Lonchura striata: one gene and its partner. The protein of the gene in region 1 purifies or fractionates together with the protein of each later gene. This does not show direct contact. Links are inferred from orthologs where the notes say so. Each region holds a gene or a part of one and is shown in the gene's direction. Other genes may lie near its edges. The genes, in order: RSU1 and PARVA.

Region 1 (8,780 bases):
ATTTCCCAGTGAATGCCAAAAAGCCATCATTCCACAAACATATGAAACTTTATAACAGCTGAGCAGATATTCTAGTTAACATAAAATGTAGAAAAAACAAAGCAGACAAAAGGGACAAGCTATAAAATACAACCCAAAATCCTCAGGTAGCAACTTAGAAAAAGAGAAACCAGTGAAGTCCCACTGGCCAACAGAATGAGATGTAAGCCAGCATTTTATAACTGTCCAAGGACTAAGAAAAACAGCCTATGCACAGTGATACTCCTGCTAACTTCTATGCTAAGTGTAACATAGAAAAATCAGAAATATGTATATTGGGATGAAATTGGGAGGCAGTTATGTCCTACTGAACTGCTAGCAAAACAGAAAGTTCCTCTAATAAGGGAAGACATAAAAGACCATATAATCAAATTAAATATTTTCAGATTAGTAGCCCAGAAAACTTTTACTGAGAGTCCACTCAAACTGCCACTGTACTTGCAGTCAAAGGATGATGCAATATTGTTTATTAAAACTCCCTACAGGGGATAGCAAACAGTAAAGGAACATCTGAAATGTCTGAAGATAAAGCCACAAAATAAATTTTAAAACAGCAATGTTTAAGAAACTTCAAGTACAACCAAGCATGGATTGAGTGGTTTGCCTGCAGTGATAAGGAGGACTGCATTTCTCCTCTGTGGAACATGGCATCACAGGCTTCATGAATGTCCATTGTGGCTTTGACCTTCCTATGAATCACCATGGATTTGGTGCAGTTGGTTCACCACATCTGCAGCTGGAAGAGAATCTCCTCAAGATCTGGATGCTGTCACTTGCTGCTAGGTGGCTGGACATGGAAACATCAGATTTTAGGCAAGAATCAGCTTGCAAGAATGTTGTCATTTTCTGCACTTCACCCAGAGCACAGTTCAGCTGGAAGCCACACATGAAAGGGAAGGATATGTCCCTCCAAACAGCTCTGTGCCACTGCACCAGTGTTCTGTGATACGGTCTTGGCTCCTGCTAAAAGTGCATCAGCCCTGTCAGAAATGAGTTCTCAAGTTAAACACTGGCCTTTTTGCAGGTGTGACAGATTATAAACTGACAAACAGAAACCTGTACATGGTTTTAATGAATGAAGGTCATTAGTGGCTTTTGGACACCAAGTTGCCCAAGGACACAGCAGTCCCTGAGCTCATGGCACTGAGGGCTCCTGCTGACCCAGGGACTGGTACAGAGATGTGCTCTGGTGACCTGACATGTGCCTGAGGCCACTCTGGTAACACAACCCTTGCCCTTGAGGTCTTGAGGGGAAATCCAGCTAAACTGGTGAGTTTGCTGAAATCTGTACTTCAGAAAGGCTGCTTTCACAAAGCATGTTTCACTTTAAAGCAATTAAATGCTTTTGGACATTTTTTATATGATAAATACTTGCTGTTGTTAAGATCTGTCACATCATCAAATTTTATAAAATCATTGAAATTCTGCAGAAGAAAAAAGAACAAAGAGCACTATGAATGAGAGGAAGAGAATTTTTAAAGGTTTTTTTAAAATCTAGCAATAACTAACTAATGCTTGGTGCATCTTTAAATGTTGGAAATACTCAATACCTATGCATAATTTTATTTACAAATGAGCAAATGCATGAGGCTATTTAGAGGGAAAAACAAAAAAGCCCAGCAGAGAATGTGCTCATGAAGTCTGTTGAATGAAGCTGCTGGTACAAGGTTTAATTGATCCAGCCCAACTGACTCTTGCCAAAAATAGTCAAAGTCTAAAATTAAATTATCAAACCCATTCTTTAAAAAAACAAAGGAAGAAAGTAACCACTGCAGTCCTCTAACATTTTATACGAGGAACCACAACAAAAATACCAACTGCAGAAGTATTAAAGTGGAGGTCCTTAGAGGAGAGAGCTGATGCTAAGCCATGTTTCTATCTTGGAAGGTAAGGAAAACTTGCTTGAAAATGAATGCACGGCAAACACAAACAAGCAGAACCAAACAGATAATCTGGAAATAATTATTCCATGAAACTTCTATGTGCTTTTTGCAGTGTACAATTCAAAAGACAAAATCTGTACTTAGTAAGAAATATCATTTCATCTCACAATACTGCCATGAAAACCTTTGCTTTTATGTCTGTGCACATTGCTATTTTATAAGGTCATTGTTGTGAATGCTGCACGTCTGTACTGTAATAACTGCATGACTACAACCTCCCTCTGTCAATGACAAAGCAAATAATGAAAGTGCAGGTTTTCAGTTTCTGGAGCCTGCATGTTTTTATTTTACATGGAAAGCTTCTTCTGCATGTTACTACAGATGTTTATTATTATACAAAAGTAATTTTAGATGCAGTTATATATGAATGGTAAGCCTCCAAAGACTAGGATTTGAAGAATAAGCACTACACTGTCTGTAACAATGTTTTTAATTGCCCTTCCCATGTGGCAGGACTGTTCTTTATAAATGAGAAATAATACCACAATGAGATATTCTTACAATAATAGTTACATAAGTAAAGGTGACAGAAGATAGAGAGCTAAAATGATAGAAACCATGGTGCTGTCAATTTAAAAGAGTAGATTATTTTAGTTAAATTTACAAAGCAATTTTGACTGAAAACCAGTTTTCAATTGTTTCATTAAGCAAAGGAGGAGGTGTCTCAATTTCCCATAGTAACATAGGATATGTGTCCTAGGCACCAGAATTAACATATTTGGTGTAATTACTTTTTGTCAACTGCCAAACTGAAACTGCAGAAATATTCTGCAGTCCTAATTAAAATGAAAGGCAATAAAAATTCATGGGATTGACTATATTGTTCCCAATACAAAACAACCGGATTAATAACAAATATATGTTTAAAATATTTATTAAATGACAATAAAAATAGAGGCCAGATTCTAGGAAGTTTTTTTACAGCAATCAGAAAAATAAATATTGCATGCAAGTTATCACACTTAGTGAGTCTAATGTTGATGGATAATCTGTAGTAGCAGTGCCCAGCACTACACAACTGGTTTTGCAGGGGCATGTTGCTGTTGCATCCTTTTGATGACACACATCCTTGCATTAATGTTGCTCATTATCATAGCTTTTCTTGAAGGGAGAAAACAGATAAAAATAGAATAATAATTTAAATGTCATTTCCCTGGTTAGTATAAGTACCTAAGACAGAAACAAGGGAGGCATCAGAGCTACTCATTCCCTTGCTGATCCCCAGCACAGTGAGAGGAACCAGCAGGAGGCAGGTCCAGCCATCACTGCCGGGGCAGAGCAGGCTGGGAGCATCACTGCAGGGGCAGCTTCTGCCTCCTCCAGCCCCCACAGGGGAAACTGCAGCTCTGCCACACAGTCATGGCCATACACCTACTCACTGTCACCTGCTTTAGCCTGCAGGCCTAAGGACAGAAGCCAGCCCCTGCAACGAATTCAGGCACCTGCTCTACAGATATTTAAGCCATATGACGGATTTAGAACAGATCTGACAGATATCAAAGCCATTTTATAGTTGTTTCATAAGCAAAAAATCAGTAGCTGGAAGGTACAGCAAGACCTAAATTGGAGAAGTCTCTACTGTGAGCTCAAGCACTGAATGTGTGGGGAGGGCTCTACTGGCCAGTCCGTAGGAACAGGCTGGCCAGCCTCTAGCTGGGGGTAGAGAGGAGCCAAATATTTCTGGGACCAAAGGGGTTTTGGAATGACTGCACATACTGGGAAGAGGAGGGGGGCATAAGAGAGGGGAGAATGGGTGACTGCAGTGACACAGACCCTCTATGGGAAATGACTCTTCATGACCAATCTGAAAAATCAGTTTTCAGGATCAAGGACCTTTGGATAGAGTTGCTTGTGTATCTTCCTTCACACTCCTTCTCAGACAATAGTATTCACTGCTTGATGAGACACTGAGAAACTTTAAAAGGAAGGCTTGAGAGCAACTCCCTTTGCCAAATCTAATGCCAATATCCCTGACTGGGGCATGGATTCATGCTCAGAAAAAAGGTTTGCTCAAGCAGGACAGAAAGAAGGTCACATAGAAGCTGTGAATGATAGACGAACTCTACACAACATGATAATGAAATTAGATAGATGGCAAAAAAACCCCACAATCCTGATGAAAGGGAGTAATGACAATATGTTCATTAAGTGGGGAGTAATTAAATACTTCTATGGTAGGAGCAGAACGTGGCTATCTAGGTCACATGCAATGTTTTGATCACTGCAAAAATGGAGTAGAGAAAAGCCAGGTGAGCTTTTTGTTAGCCATGAAGATTGTTTTGTAAGTGTCTTGTTAGAGTCACATGTGCTGGTAGTTGGAATAAAGGAGCAGATTTAGAGCACATTTACAGATAACTAATCTGCCTGAGCCTTTGTTACTAAATGACACCTACAATCATTTGCATGAAATAAGAACAGCAGACATGTTAGCATTTAGGTCTTTGGGACAACTGACTGGTAGCAGTTAGGGCATTTTCTTAGATGGGAAAGGGATCCAGATTCATGGTTGTGCAGACAAAAGAAGAACTGTACATCGTCATCCTGTACATCTGAGTGACAGTGGGTTCTGCTGAGAAATCCAGCTAAAAGGAAGATACTCTTCAGTAGTGCCTTGTAAGGAAGACCTGAAAACAGTCAGTAACTTTAGGAAACACTCAAGGTAGGAAACTCCAATTAGGAATAAACATGCTACAGTTCTGCAGACCAGATCCTTACATTCCTAAAAAAGGTGAACTTGAAGTTGTGCCTTCATAAAGTTTTTTTATTTGCTGTCTTATGCAAATGCTCATCTTCTTGGTTTTTGTGGATACCATTTTTAGGCTACTAAGTAACACGATGGAGTACATATGCAAAATTCAAAGCTGTGGTTCTCAATGGGTAGCCTGGCCTTAGGTAACTTAATAGATTTAGTCATTAACTGCTCTGAGCTTCCGTATCTGCTGAATGACAGTAAGTAGGAGCACCTTAAATCCTGTGAAAGAGATTACATGGATAACTACAACGCCACAGCATCTCTACTACCGGTCGAGACGGGTTACGAGCGCTCAGGACGTGGACCCAGCCTTGTGACTGGTTTTGCTGCTAGAGCCGACTGGAAAACCCAGGAAGTCACCTGAAAAAATGGGCACCGCTGGTTAAACGCAGCGGGATTTTTTTGCTGTGGGTTATTTTGGCGATAATGCGCTCCGTCCCGGCCGCCTCCCCAAGCCCCGGAGCGCTCCGGGAATCCCGCCCCGGCCCTGGCGCCGGTCAGCGCGGGCGGGGCTGCGCTGCGCCTGCGCGCGGGGCGGGGCGGGGCGCCCGGGATCCGCCGGCCCGCCCGTCCCGCCGCCGATCCGCCCGCTGCCCCGCCGCTTCCCATCGCCTCCCATCGCCTCCCGCCGCCTCCCGCCGCAGCGCCGCGCGGTGAGTGCCCTCGGACAGGGCCGGGCCTGTTGCCCGCCCGGGGCGGGCGTGCGGCCGGCATCCCGGGCAGTGCCCCGCTGCCATGGGCGGGCGCGGCGGCCGGGACGGGACGGGGCCCCCGGCGGGCTGGGCAGGGGGTTCTCTGCGCTCGCGGCCGGCGCTGTCCCGGGTTGGAGCCTCGGCGGGTTTCCCCCGCCCCCGGCTCACTCTGTCCGTTTCTGCCCCGCCTAGACCATGTCCAAGTCCCTGAAGAAGATCGTGGAGGAGAGCAGGGAGAAGAACCAGCCCGAGGTGGACATGTGCGACCGCGGCATCTCCAGCATGCTGGACGTGCCCGGCCTGTGTAGGTACCGGCGGCGGCGGGCGGGCACGGCGCGGAAACTTCCTTATTTGTCCCGGGCGAGCGGGGCCCGGCCTGGGCGCGCCCGGCGCTGCCCCGCTGGGACCGGGACTCCGCGGGGCGGGGCGGCCTTTGGGCACCGGGCTTGGGGGGAGATCCGCGGGCTGACCAAACCCCCGCGCCCGGCTGCCGGCAGCACCGCCAGGAGCCGCCCGTGTGCGTCCGGGGCAGCCCCGCACGGGCTCGGCGTTCCCTGTCACATTGCTGGCGTTCTGTCGGTCGGGAGACTTTCCCTCTTCTCGTCCTGCTACCGAAACAAAACCATCGGCTAAGTAGATCTCCACTGGGTCTTTAAAGGGATAGGGTGACAGCCTGCAACTACGGGCGACTGGTCTCTGAAGAGAGGGCAGTAATACTGTATCACACATACGGCAGCATCGTGCTTTGGATGATATACGATTGCACATGCTTGCTGAACCATGACAGGGTGCTGCTGTCGGTACGGTGCATTTACTATAGTTAAATTCACAGCAAATACAGCATACCAATAGCAACATGCTGTTACAGTTCTGGAGAACACATAAATGAAGAGCAGCTTAGGTGTCTTGCCTTGCTAAATTGCACATGATGTTATGACTTAGCCAATACTCTGGGAATTAAAGTTGTGACTGTCTGTAGTGTGCCACAGGCTGACATTTTTCTGAATGCATGATCCAATGAGAGGAAAAAAAGCAAAATCTCAACCAACCAATGTACTTAAAATTCTTGACTGTATCCTGTTTTAGCTCTTTACTGTGTTTGTTAAACTTGAGAGCGGTCAGGAGCAAATGTACATAACTCTTCTCGCAAGATAGATATGAGCTCAGGGAAAGGTATGGCTCACTACCAGCTCGCCATTATCTGCAGAGTTGAGAGCACATCAAGGTGTCTTCACACCTTATCTTCCCATCAGTAAAGGATGAAGTCTTAAGTACAGTTTTGCAGAACTAGGTTCTGTACTTAAAGTCTACATTCTGTACTACTGTTCTGCTTCTGTGTGTTGCGTGGGCCTGTGGGAAGATGGTGTTGTAAGGACCACATATGTGAATTCACATTAAATAGAAAATTTAACAGAGTACTGTTGCTTTTGTTAAGTAGACTTGGTGCCTACTATCAACACTAGATAGGTAATTAATTAACTAGTTTTGATCTTTTAAAGTGTGAAAAAAGGATAATGTTGAAGCACATTGATAATCCTAAAAAAAAAAAAAAAGCTTTTCTTGCACAAAGAGTCTTTGGGGTTTGTTGTTCAGGCAGGGCCAGGGACCAGGGTAGGGCAGTGTGGTCCCCAGATGCTCCCTGATACCAGGTTGCTAATTAAGCATCTGAAATGTCTTTGGCAGAGAGCTCTCTACGTGAAGTATAGACTTTGGTACCCTACTTACACTGCATCAGAGGAGTCTCTGCACAGATACTCTTGGTGCACATTGTGTGACTTGATCTAGCATGGGGATTTGGAGCCTTCAATTTGAGATGAAAGATAGGGAGGGGAGAAATGATGACTGGTTTCTGTTAAATTAATTGCTTTTTCAGTTATTATATTCACGGACAGAACACAGAAGTTGCTTTGTTTTTTTTTTTACCATGGAGGTATTTGCCTTCAGGAGAAGGAACACCTTTCATCAAATAAAAAGTAACGAATAGCTATTACTTCTGAATTTTTAGTAAAGGGTTGAGGAAGTGTTGAACTTGTTTTCGAACCTTGTCACCTGACTCCAAATAGATGGTCTTCTCTAATGTAGATTGGATGTTTTGGTTTTCTCTGCCTCTCAGAACTGGTGTGTAAGCTAAAGTAGACTGACCTAGTACCTTTCCTTCTCTGTGTGTTACATACCTTTTCAGGGCAGTGTTAAAGCTTGCCTTTTCAGGTATTTTTATTTTTTTCCTTCCATGAAGTAAAGGTCTCTATTAAAAGCAGTCATCACTATTCATGCCCAGTGACTCTTCTTGCACATAATTTCATCTTTAAGGAGGGCCACTAGTAGATGTTGAGAGTTAAGTTTAGATAATGATTGGAGGGAACAGTTTTGGCTATTTGAGTTTTGTAGGTTGGAAGGTATGCCGGAGTTACTGTGTTCAGTAGCCCCTGATCAGCATTTTGTCTCATGTAATTATATAGTGGTTATGAATACCCCTACCAGAGGTGCTAAGTACCTTTTAAAGGTAAACTGCTCCTTCTAGTCCTAAATCTCCAAGGAAAGGACTAAGCCTTGTCTCACTGCATGTTTGAGAACTTGCTGCAGAGCGGCTAATGAGCTTGTATTTAACCTTTCTTAACTTAATTCACATAGGGGTAATACAGGCACAAGGATTTGGAAGCAGTGTACCATGTAACATCTGTTCAGTGTGCCAGTCCTTTTCCTTAGGTGTCACCCTGTTCTTGTCATGTGTGTTTAGGAAATAAAAAAGAAAAGTAAGTGATAGAGAAAAGTGGTGTTATGTGGTGACAAAGAAGAGCAAAGGAGAATATATGCCCTATCTTGGATACAGTTCTCTTCTGGCTTCTGTTTTCAGTCTAGGCTTCCTGCAGTACAGGGCAGTCAGTCATACTTTCTTTTGCATTGTCTTCCATCCTCTGCAGTAGCTGTAGGAGAGAAAAAACAGACAAAATTTGGCTTCTGTCAAATACCAGTGTGTCTTTCCAATTAAGAATGAAATACTTCTATCTGGAAGGAGATTGGCAAGCTACCTTAGACCCACAAGCTTGGCAACCTTTACATCTCTTCCCACTTTCATGTTTGGCAGAGAAAGAGTATGGTTACCAGCTTATATACAACGTGAAGTTCAGATTCAAAAAAAAAAGTTAAGTAGTCCCTGAAGCACTTCTAACTCAGGAGTTCATTAATGTCATTAGAAGTAGAGTTCTATTTTTGGAATATTCCTCGAATCCAGACACTTCCATGTTTTCTCCTAGTGACTTAAAATACAAAGTAGAATTGTGTTATGCACCTTCAGAGTGTCTGGATTTTTATGCTTTCAGAACTGTAATAGGAGAGCCCTTTTTCAGATGTGTT
Region 2 (8,567 bases), on another chromosome or scaffold:
AGGACAGACGGACAACTGCTTCTCTTCGGAGGTCAATGTCATTTCTGGCATCTTTGAGCTGTGATTTTCCTTTCACTGTCATGTCCTTTCCTTTCCATCTTGTGGACTTTTCTGTCCCAGGAGCAGAATAGAAGTGCCACCACAGGAATTTACTGAGGCTCTTCTAATCCCAGTGCCTGCACACATCCTCCTGTGCCCTCTTCGAAAGACCACAGGACTAAAGAAACTCATTTGGTGCTTAGGGATGTGGTTCAGTGTGGATTTGGCAGTAATGGGTTAATGGCTGGACTTGATCTTAAAGGTCTGTTCAAACTTAAACAATTCTATGATTTTATAAAAAGCTTGGGGAAACAATTTTGTGAATCACCATTTCAATCAAGACCAATCGATTTGCCTCCAAGGTAAAGGGACACCTCACTGATTTTCAGTGTGTTTGACCATAGGAAACAAGTTTAGAGATCTTGTGCTTTGAAACTTCTGCTTTGTAGCCCAATGCACGTCTGATCTCAACTAAGATTTTCACATTAGTTTAGAAGTCATTTCCAGAAAGATAGACTGTTTTCTTCCTTGCTTGAGCAAGGAACAGGATGTGGCACAGCAGATTGGAGACTTTGCTGCTGTTAAGATCTAGAGCTGTCCCTGCTGGGCTTTGCATGGACTGCAATTTTTGGCATTGTTTAGCACAATGGGTTTGCTGTGGTTGCAAATCCTGTTCTTTCAGTCATCTCAGGAGCTTGATTCCTGCCAAATACTTAATGATGGGCAAGGTATTTGCTGGACTTCACCCAGATCTCTTTGCCCGATATTTATGAGAAAAATTGTGGTTTCTTCTGTTGTTTCTAATGAACTGTGAAGAGACCTGATGGCTCTGCATGCTGGTATTGTGCTTGCTGGAATATTCACATAACACACCTGTACATAACTACAGGCCCAAACGAAGGGTACAACTGAAGCTTATTAAGAAAAAAAAAATCATAATACTGATTTTTTTCCTAAAACTGTCTCAAGAAGGACAGTTGTAAATGCAAGTATGCTTGGCCCAGTTTTTGTAAGTAATTAATTGATGTAACCTCATGGTACCAAAACATGTGAATACCAGGATGACATTGCCATTTTACCAAAAAGTTTTAAACCCACTTTCTTTCCTCTGAAGCTTTCAAATCATTTATTTCTGTAGCTGTATACAACATGTTATCTTTAATCTTTCATGTACATTTTTCTTTATCACATCTTAGTCTATCTGTTTTGCTCCCTGATGTACAACAAAACTTCATTGTATGTTTTAAGAATCTATTTGGAAATACTCTATTACTTTTAGAAAACCATCTTATTTTGTTATATTATTTAAACAGAATATTCTTTTACCAAAGAAGTTAGAGTAGAAATCATAGCTGTGCTTTAAATTCCAGCATATGAATATGTCCAAACCTTAACTTTGTGAGCTGGAAAGAAATTTATCCTCAAGTGTGAGTTTTAGGTGATGCTGGCAATGAAAATTTGGAGCCCTTTTATCCTTAATACGATGCTTTCTGCTGTTCTAATGTTCTAAAACAGCTTCTCTGCTCAGCAGGCTCCTTTACTGTGCTATTAACTATTAGTCAGGGAGGGGTGGGCACATTCAGCAATTCACCACACAGGGCTGGCAGGCCAGCACAAGTGCTTAGGAAAATAAAATGTGTAGACTTTGCTCTAGTTCTCCTCTTCCTGAAAGTCAGCAAAGGGTGTTCCTGTAGGCAATCACAGCAGTAGCAGCAAGTTGATAAATCACTTTTAAGAATTCCACTTCTGTTCTTTAAATGACTGAATGGTCAAAAGGCTGGAGCAGAGAAAAATGTTAGGGGAATACTCTAAGGCAAGTGGATGATTTATTGCACAGTTTTAACCATACTGGCTGCTCTTTCTTGCTAGCCAAGCCCGTGGTTTGGATATTATACACCTTGCTTTTCTGTTTCATTGGAAAGTAAAACTCTGCTCCTGAGCATTCTGAGTCTCATATTAAAAGAAATAAAAAACAGCTGTGCATGGACAGATACGCAGGTGAGTAAGAATTATTTGAAGGGTGGAGGGGAGGGGACATAGCCACCTTTTATTGCCTGGCAAAAGTACATATGTGAGCAGGATACAATTAATTTGATGTAATGTTTGGCTTATCTGGCTAAACAAGGCGCTGACAGGGAGTGTGGTGAGAGCTGTCATGGTCTGCTTCACATTTCTCTATGCCAGGTGCAGCAGGGCCAGCCTGAGCAGCAGCCTGCTCACTGCTGTGTTCTGTGCTGGGCTCGTGGAGCATGATCCTGGAAGTATTCTATTGTCAAATATAGAGCAGAGCAAACTCCATCCCCACAGCTGCCATAACTCAGACCTCGAGAATACCTATAAAGCCTTTTGTGATGAATGCAATATTAATTTAAGGCCATAACTTAGATCTTGTGTATATCTATAAAACTTTTTGTGATGAATGCAACATTAATTTAAGGCTATACGTTAATATATATTCCCACATAACAAGAAAAAAAAAAAAAAAAAGGTAGCCTATGTAATTCTAAATGTAAGATACAGGGGGAAAATGTTGTAATTATCCTCAAAGTGAAATATCACAACTGGAAAAATACTGCAGTAATGTTACACACAATGAACTGCACATAAATCCTGCAAGAAATCCCAAAATCAAAACTGTAAACTTAGGGTCTGGCTGTTGCTTTAGCATCTTACTTAAAGCACACAGTATTTAAGTTTCCTGATGTGATAAAGTTAATCTTAAACACATTGTTTCATTTCATTTTTTTCCCCTTGTGATGTCAAGCTCCCATAGTTCATGAGGCTATTAAAGAAGTAATACTGTATTTATCATTAATTTACATATACTCAGTGTTGAGAAATAGGAAAGATTCTGTGCCTTCTTAAGAGTTTTGTGAGGGACTTGGCAAGTGCATATTGAATTCTGACTACCCTGTACTGCACAGGCTCTTTATGAAGTATCTGGCTTGTTCCTTCTCTATTTACCACAAACACAGGGGTACTTGTGCTTACCAAAATGTTCCCTCTTCTGCTGTGGCCACAAAATCCTGTATTGACATCCATGTATAGTCATTTGGCTCCAAATGGAGATTCAGCTGGGTCACTGCTCTGTTTGTAAATGTCACAGATTTACAGACATATTTTTACAAGTGCTTACTGTGTGTATTTCTCCTTTTGAAGCTTTTATTATGTTCTTAAAAATGATACATACACTGTATAAGCAGGACTTCTGTATAAGGAGAATAATGTGTGAAATTCAGGCTGAAATTCATAGACAAGAGGCCTGAGACAATAACTGGTGCTAGAACCAGAGAGAAAATGTAAGGAAAGGATTGTGCTAAGGCTTGGGCTCATTCCTGCTGATAACTGATGGCAGGATGGATGAATAGAGTTTTTTTCCAGGGCACATACTAACTGCATGCAATAAACAGAGATTGATGTCTGCCCCTCATCAGCTAACCAATGTTACCAGCTCATAAAAACACAACAATTATTAGCTGATTTAGAAATATCCTCATGGTAATTTCATTTCACTTATTATGCCTAATGGATAGCTAGATATTTGCATGAAGTGTGTGTGGCTTTTTGCCTGAATTGTTAATCAAGTGATTAAGTGGTAAGTGAAAGTAGTGCATCCAGATGACATTAATGCTGTTCCACTCCTGGATGCCTCCTGAACCAGTCACAGCAAATTATCTGTTTTAAACCTCCCATAAGCTGCTCATCTGCAAATCAAAGCAGGGTTGGTATAGGCAATCTATCATGTTAAGTCACCTTTCCTTCCACAGGCTTTTTATACTGGTCTGACTACAACAGTTGTTTTGTTTTGTGGGAGTGGATATGATGATGCCCACAGCTTCTCACCACAGACACAGCTGAAGACTGCAGGCAGAAGAGCTTTCCAAAATGTTATCCAGACTGAAATGTATGTAGTAAGCTTGAATTTGCAGGAAACTATTCAGTGACATTTTATTACTTCATAAGTTCTTTTGTGTGTCCAGGTCTGGCGCCTCCAACACAAGAGAGATGAGCTTGATGGAGCATGTCTAGAGGAGGCTACCAAGGTGCTTAGAGGGCTGGAACACCTCTCCCATGAACACAGGTTGAGAAAGTTGGGGTTGTTCAGCCTGGAGAATGCTTCAAGGAGACCTAGCAGCCTTCCTGTACCTAAAGGGGGGGTTACAGGACAGCTGGAGAGGGATTTCTTGCAAGGGCAGGTATTGTAAATGCAGGAGAACCCAATGGGAAGAAATGACGATGTCTGACTCAGTTCTGAAGGCTGAATTATTTCTTTATTATAACTATGCTAAAATACATCAATATACTATATAAAAGGAGGATACTAAAACTACATACTACTTTCTCTGACTCTTAACACAACTCATGACCCTCTCTGAGAGCCCAGCCCCAGGTGGGTTGGATTGGCCATCAGGCTCAAACAATCCTCACCTGAATCCAACCAAGCACTCACCCCAGGTAAACAATTCTCCACACACATTCCACATAGGAAAAACAAGGAACAGAAATTGTTTTCTCTTTCATTTCTCTCTGTGCACCTCTATGAAAATCCTGAGAGGGAGATAAATGTGCTTGCCCCAGGCAGGTAGTGACAGAAAACGAAGAAATAGTCTTAAGCTGAAGAAGTGAAGATGTTTAGACAAGATATTAAGAAAAATCTCTTTGTTGGGAGGGAGGGTGGTGAGGCTCTGGAACAAGCTCTCCAGAGAAGCTTTGGCTATTCCATCCCTGGAAGCATTCAAGGCCGGGTTAAATGGAACTTTGAACAATCAAGTCTAATTGTAGGTGTCCCTGCCTATGGCACTGTGTTGGAAACTAGATTTTCTTTAAGACCCCTTCCAACCCGGACCGCGATTCCATTTTTCTGTGGGTGCTGAGCACAGAACGTAGCTGCGACTCCATCCTTCCGGCCCTTCCCCTTGGGGTAGCCGAGGATGAGCGGCACGGTGTCCGTATCCACCTTTCCCTTTCGGCACGCTACCCGGCACCCAGCCGGGCCACTCACCCACCCAGCCCAGGGGTGGAGGATGGAGCGGGGGGCGAGGCGCCGGGCCCCCGCACAGCGAGCGAGCCGCGGCGGGGAGCGCAGCGCGGCTCCCGCACCGCCCGCGGCCACCGGCAGCCGGGCGAGGCGAGCGGGCCCTCCCCGGCGGGAGGGAGGGCGGGCGGAGGGAGGGAAGGAGCGGGAGAGCCGGGAGAGCGGAGCAGGAGCTGCCTCAAATGCTTGAAATAATTCCGCTTCCGTTCAGAGCCGGGAGCAGCCTCCCACGGCACCGCGGCCTCGGAGCCGCCCGCTCCGTCCCCAGCGCCGGCGGCTGGCCCAGCATGGCCACCTCCCCGCAGAAATCCCCTTCGTCCCCCAAGTCCCCCACCCCCAAATCGCCCCCCTCCAGAAAGAAGGATGACTCCTTCCTGGGCAAGCTCGGCGGCACGCTGGCCAGGAGGAAAAAAGCGAAAGAAGGTAAAAATTAACGACGGGCTTGCACGTTTCCTGGGAGTTACCTTGCTGTGGGGGGGGAGGAGACAGGGGGAGAGGAAAAGCTCTGGGGAGCGGGAGGAAGGGGCTGGCGGGGAAGGACGTGCGGAGCGCGGTGGGCAGGCGAGGGAGGAGCCGCCCCGGCCCCGCCGCTCCCGGGGCCGCTCCCGGGGCCGCTCCCGGGGCCGCTCCCGGGGCCGCTCCCGGGGCCGCTCCCGGGGCCGCTCCCGGGGCCGCTCCCGGGGCCGCTCCCGGGGCCGCTCCCGGGGCCGCTCCCGGGGCCGCTCCCGGGGCCGCTCCGAGTCTGTGTCCAGTGTCTGTGTGCGGGCCCGGCCGGGGAAGGAAGGAATGAAGGAAGGAAGGAGCGCTGCCCGCAGCGGGCCGGGCGGCCGGCGGGCCCCGCAGGCCTGGGAGCGCCCGGGGATGGGTTTTCCCTGGGAGCGCCCGGGGATGGGTTTTCCCTGGGAGCGCCCGGGGATGGGTTTTCCCTGGGAGCGCCCGGGGATGGGTTTTCCCTGGGAGCGCCCGGGGATGGGTTTTCCCTGGGGGCGCCCGGGGATGGGTTTTCCCTGGGCAGGATTTGTGTGCTGAGCCCTGTGTAACGCGGTGTGGTCAGCGCACGGCGCTCTGTGTGATGCACGCCGCTGGTGGGGATCCATAGCAGCGCTCGCGGGCAATGCAGGGATCCCTGTGCTGAGCAAAAGGCTTGCCTGGCCACAGCGAACCTTTACAGGACTCAGCATATACAACAGTCCGGTTCTTTGTCCGTACTTGTGAATTAATACCCGCCCCCCCGCTGAATTTTCCTATATGAAACCCCGTGAGAGAGACAGAATTGGAATTTAACCTTGCTCACCCATCGTTTTGACAGCTGAACTTGATTTAAATATGATGCAAATAGAGACAACATAACAGTCGCTTCAAAACAGGCTTTCTAGCAAAATTCATTGCTTGCCAGCGTGAAGAAGGGTGTGAGGCTCAGCACCCCTTGCTCCTCGTGTGCACATGGGCACTGAAGCCAGACACAGAGTGTTTTGGAGAAGCGCCAGGGCTGTGGACGAGAATGACATAACTTGGGAGCGTACAGCTCCTCATTCTCTTAACTATCACGTCATGTTTCTGTGATGTGCAGTCTTGCTTTTCGATTAAATCCATGTTGCACGATTGTGCTCACATTATTTGTCTTTTTCTGGTCATTTCAGATGGACCAGATGTTGATGAAATAGTAAAGAATTACAACTCAATTACCTATTTTTAAAAATTATCCTGTTAGAGTATTTATGACTATCAGCAGCACTGAGCTAGCAAAAATCTTCCTTGATGAGTCCATGTTGTAGGTATGTTTATAGAGACCTTTAAGCCTATTTGTGGCAGTTTGAGTATGTCCATTATATTGTCGTTAGTACTGTTTTTACTATTAAATACTTTTTTCCTTAGTGACAGATACCTGAAGTCAGAAATCTCCAGCAAACCTTCAGAGGCAGCAATTGCTTTTATCCACTATCTTGTAATCTTACAAAAAGATGTCTTCTGTGAAATCATACTTCTTATTAATGCATTACATGTATTGATTAAAACCTGCACCTGCCATTTCATTATCATGGTCTATGCTTTTGAAATTTGGAAACTGAATTGTCCTTGTCTTTTGCGTTTCCCAATTTTCTAAGGTCTATCTAAAAATAACTGGATTAGAGAGCTGGGGTTTTTTTTATTAACTTTGTAAGGACTGTTATTTGCTGATGGACGAAAATGTATTGTATTAATTTCACCTTAGTATCCTTTTTACTTGCCTGTATATTTTTGACATTTCTTTGGTAGAAGCGTATATAGAGGTGAAATTGATAGTATGCTATCTTATCTTTCTGTTTATTGATTTATGGGTTTTAACACATTCAGGTGGCTTCAGCCTTACTGTGAAGCCTGTCCTCTTTCTTAGTTCCTAATTTTTCTCTACTAAAAAGAAATACAAGTTTGCAAACTATTAATAAGCATTGTTCTTGCTGGCTGTGGCCCACGTAGCTTCCATCGTAAGTTGTGCTTATTGTTTTTGTAGGGCTCCAGGTGTTTTTGAAGCCTAGCTAGGAATTTCAGAGGTCAGATTGCGTGTTCGTCTAGGATCTGAGTTTTGGTGTTTTTTTCCTGTTTTAACCAAACTGTGGTAGGTTTCCTATGGAGGTGGGTCTTGGTCATAGAAGTGCAAGTGGTTATTCAACTGCTTATGCGCAGGATGTATAGGAAAATGTTCAGAATAACTCAGGATAAATGAGGGACAACTGAAAATTTGCATGTCTTTCAGTTGGTGTAAATTCTGCTGTTACACAGAGCACAGAAGCATATTGATTTCCTTCACTGTTTTACCACAAGGTCTAAGAACTGGTGGTTTTTAATAATGCAAAAATGTTTTGTCTTTTGTAGGGACTATGCTGGTTGCACTTTAGTACCATCTCTGCTGTATGTGTAGTTAACTGTTGTAGGCGATACACAATTACACATCTGTGAGTTTTGTATTTTTGTCATCAACAGGTGTTTTGATCATTGTCAGAACTACATTTTTGTATATTGCAACAACAGAGCCAAAATGCTTCACCAAATGAAAATCTTTTAGGCTCTGAAGTGACTTTATGATGAAGAGTAACGCAGATTATTTATGAAAAGAGTAAAGTTTATGTAGTTTTAGGTGTAAAATAGTTTATGATACAACATAAAATGCAGTTTCTGTATTGACATTAATTTATATGCATAAATATATATATAAAATATACAGCAAACATTTGCTTATGCATTTCAAAGTTCTTGGCAATGGTGGAGGTCCACCAGTGGAAGAGGTGAGGGTAGTCTAGACGAGTGAAATGAATTCTCTAATATCAGAGCACAAGTTATTGACCAAAAGAAAGAGAGTAACCTGAAATACTTGAGATATCACACATGATGTAAGCACGGATTAGTCATACCATAAGACATATGTTAATATGGCAAATACATTGCCATTAAATATTAGAGAATACTTGATAAAATCTGGAGGTTGGAGCTCAGATTTGTTTATGTTGTTGTCTGT

What was found.
Region 2: the proteins of RSU1 (region 1) and PARVA purify together in Homo sapiens (affinity purification with mass spectrometry; 3 studies listed by BioGRID and IntAct, counting the BioPlex papers as one, with this or other methods). This does not show direct contact. The link is inferred for Lonchura striata from reciprocal best matches to the Homo sapiens genes RSU1 and PARVA.

The regions. Positions count from the first base shown.
Region 1 is NC_134603.1:136,355,126-136,363,905, reverse strand, and holds the start of RSU1 (ras suppressor protein 1), read left to right. Parts: upstream 1-5,297; 5' UTR 5,298-5,387; intron 5,388-5,618; 5' UTR 5,619-5,621; coding exon 5,622-5,730; intron 5,731-8,780. UniProt on the Homo sapiens protein: Potentially plays a role in the Ras signal transduction pathway. Capable of suppressing v-Ras transformation in vitro.
Region 2 is NC_134608.1:58,362,662-58,371,228, forward strand, and holds the start of PARVA (alpha-parvin), read left to right. Parts: upstream 1-5,259; 5' UTR 5,260-5,361; coding exon 5,362-5,497; intron 5,498-8,567. UniProt on the Homo sapiens protein: Plays a role in sarcomere organization and in smooth muscle cell contraction. Required for normal development of the embryonic cardiovascular system, and for normal septation of the heart outflow tract.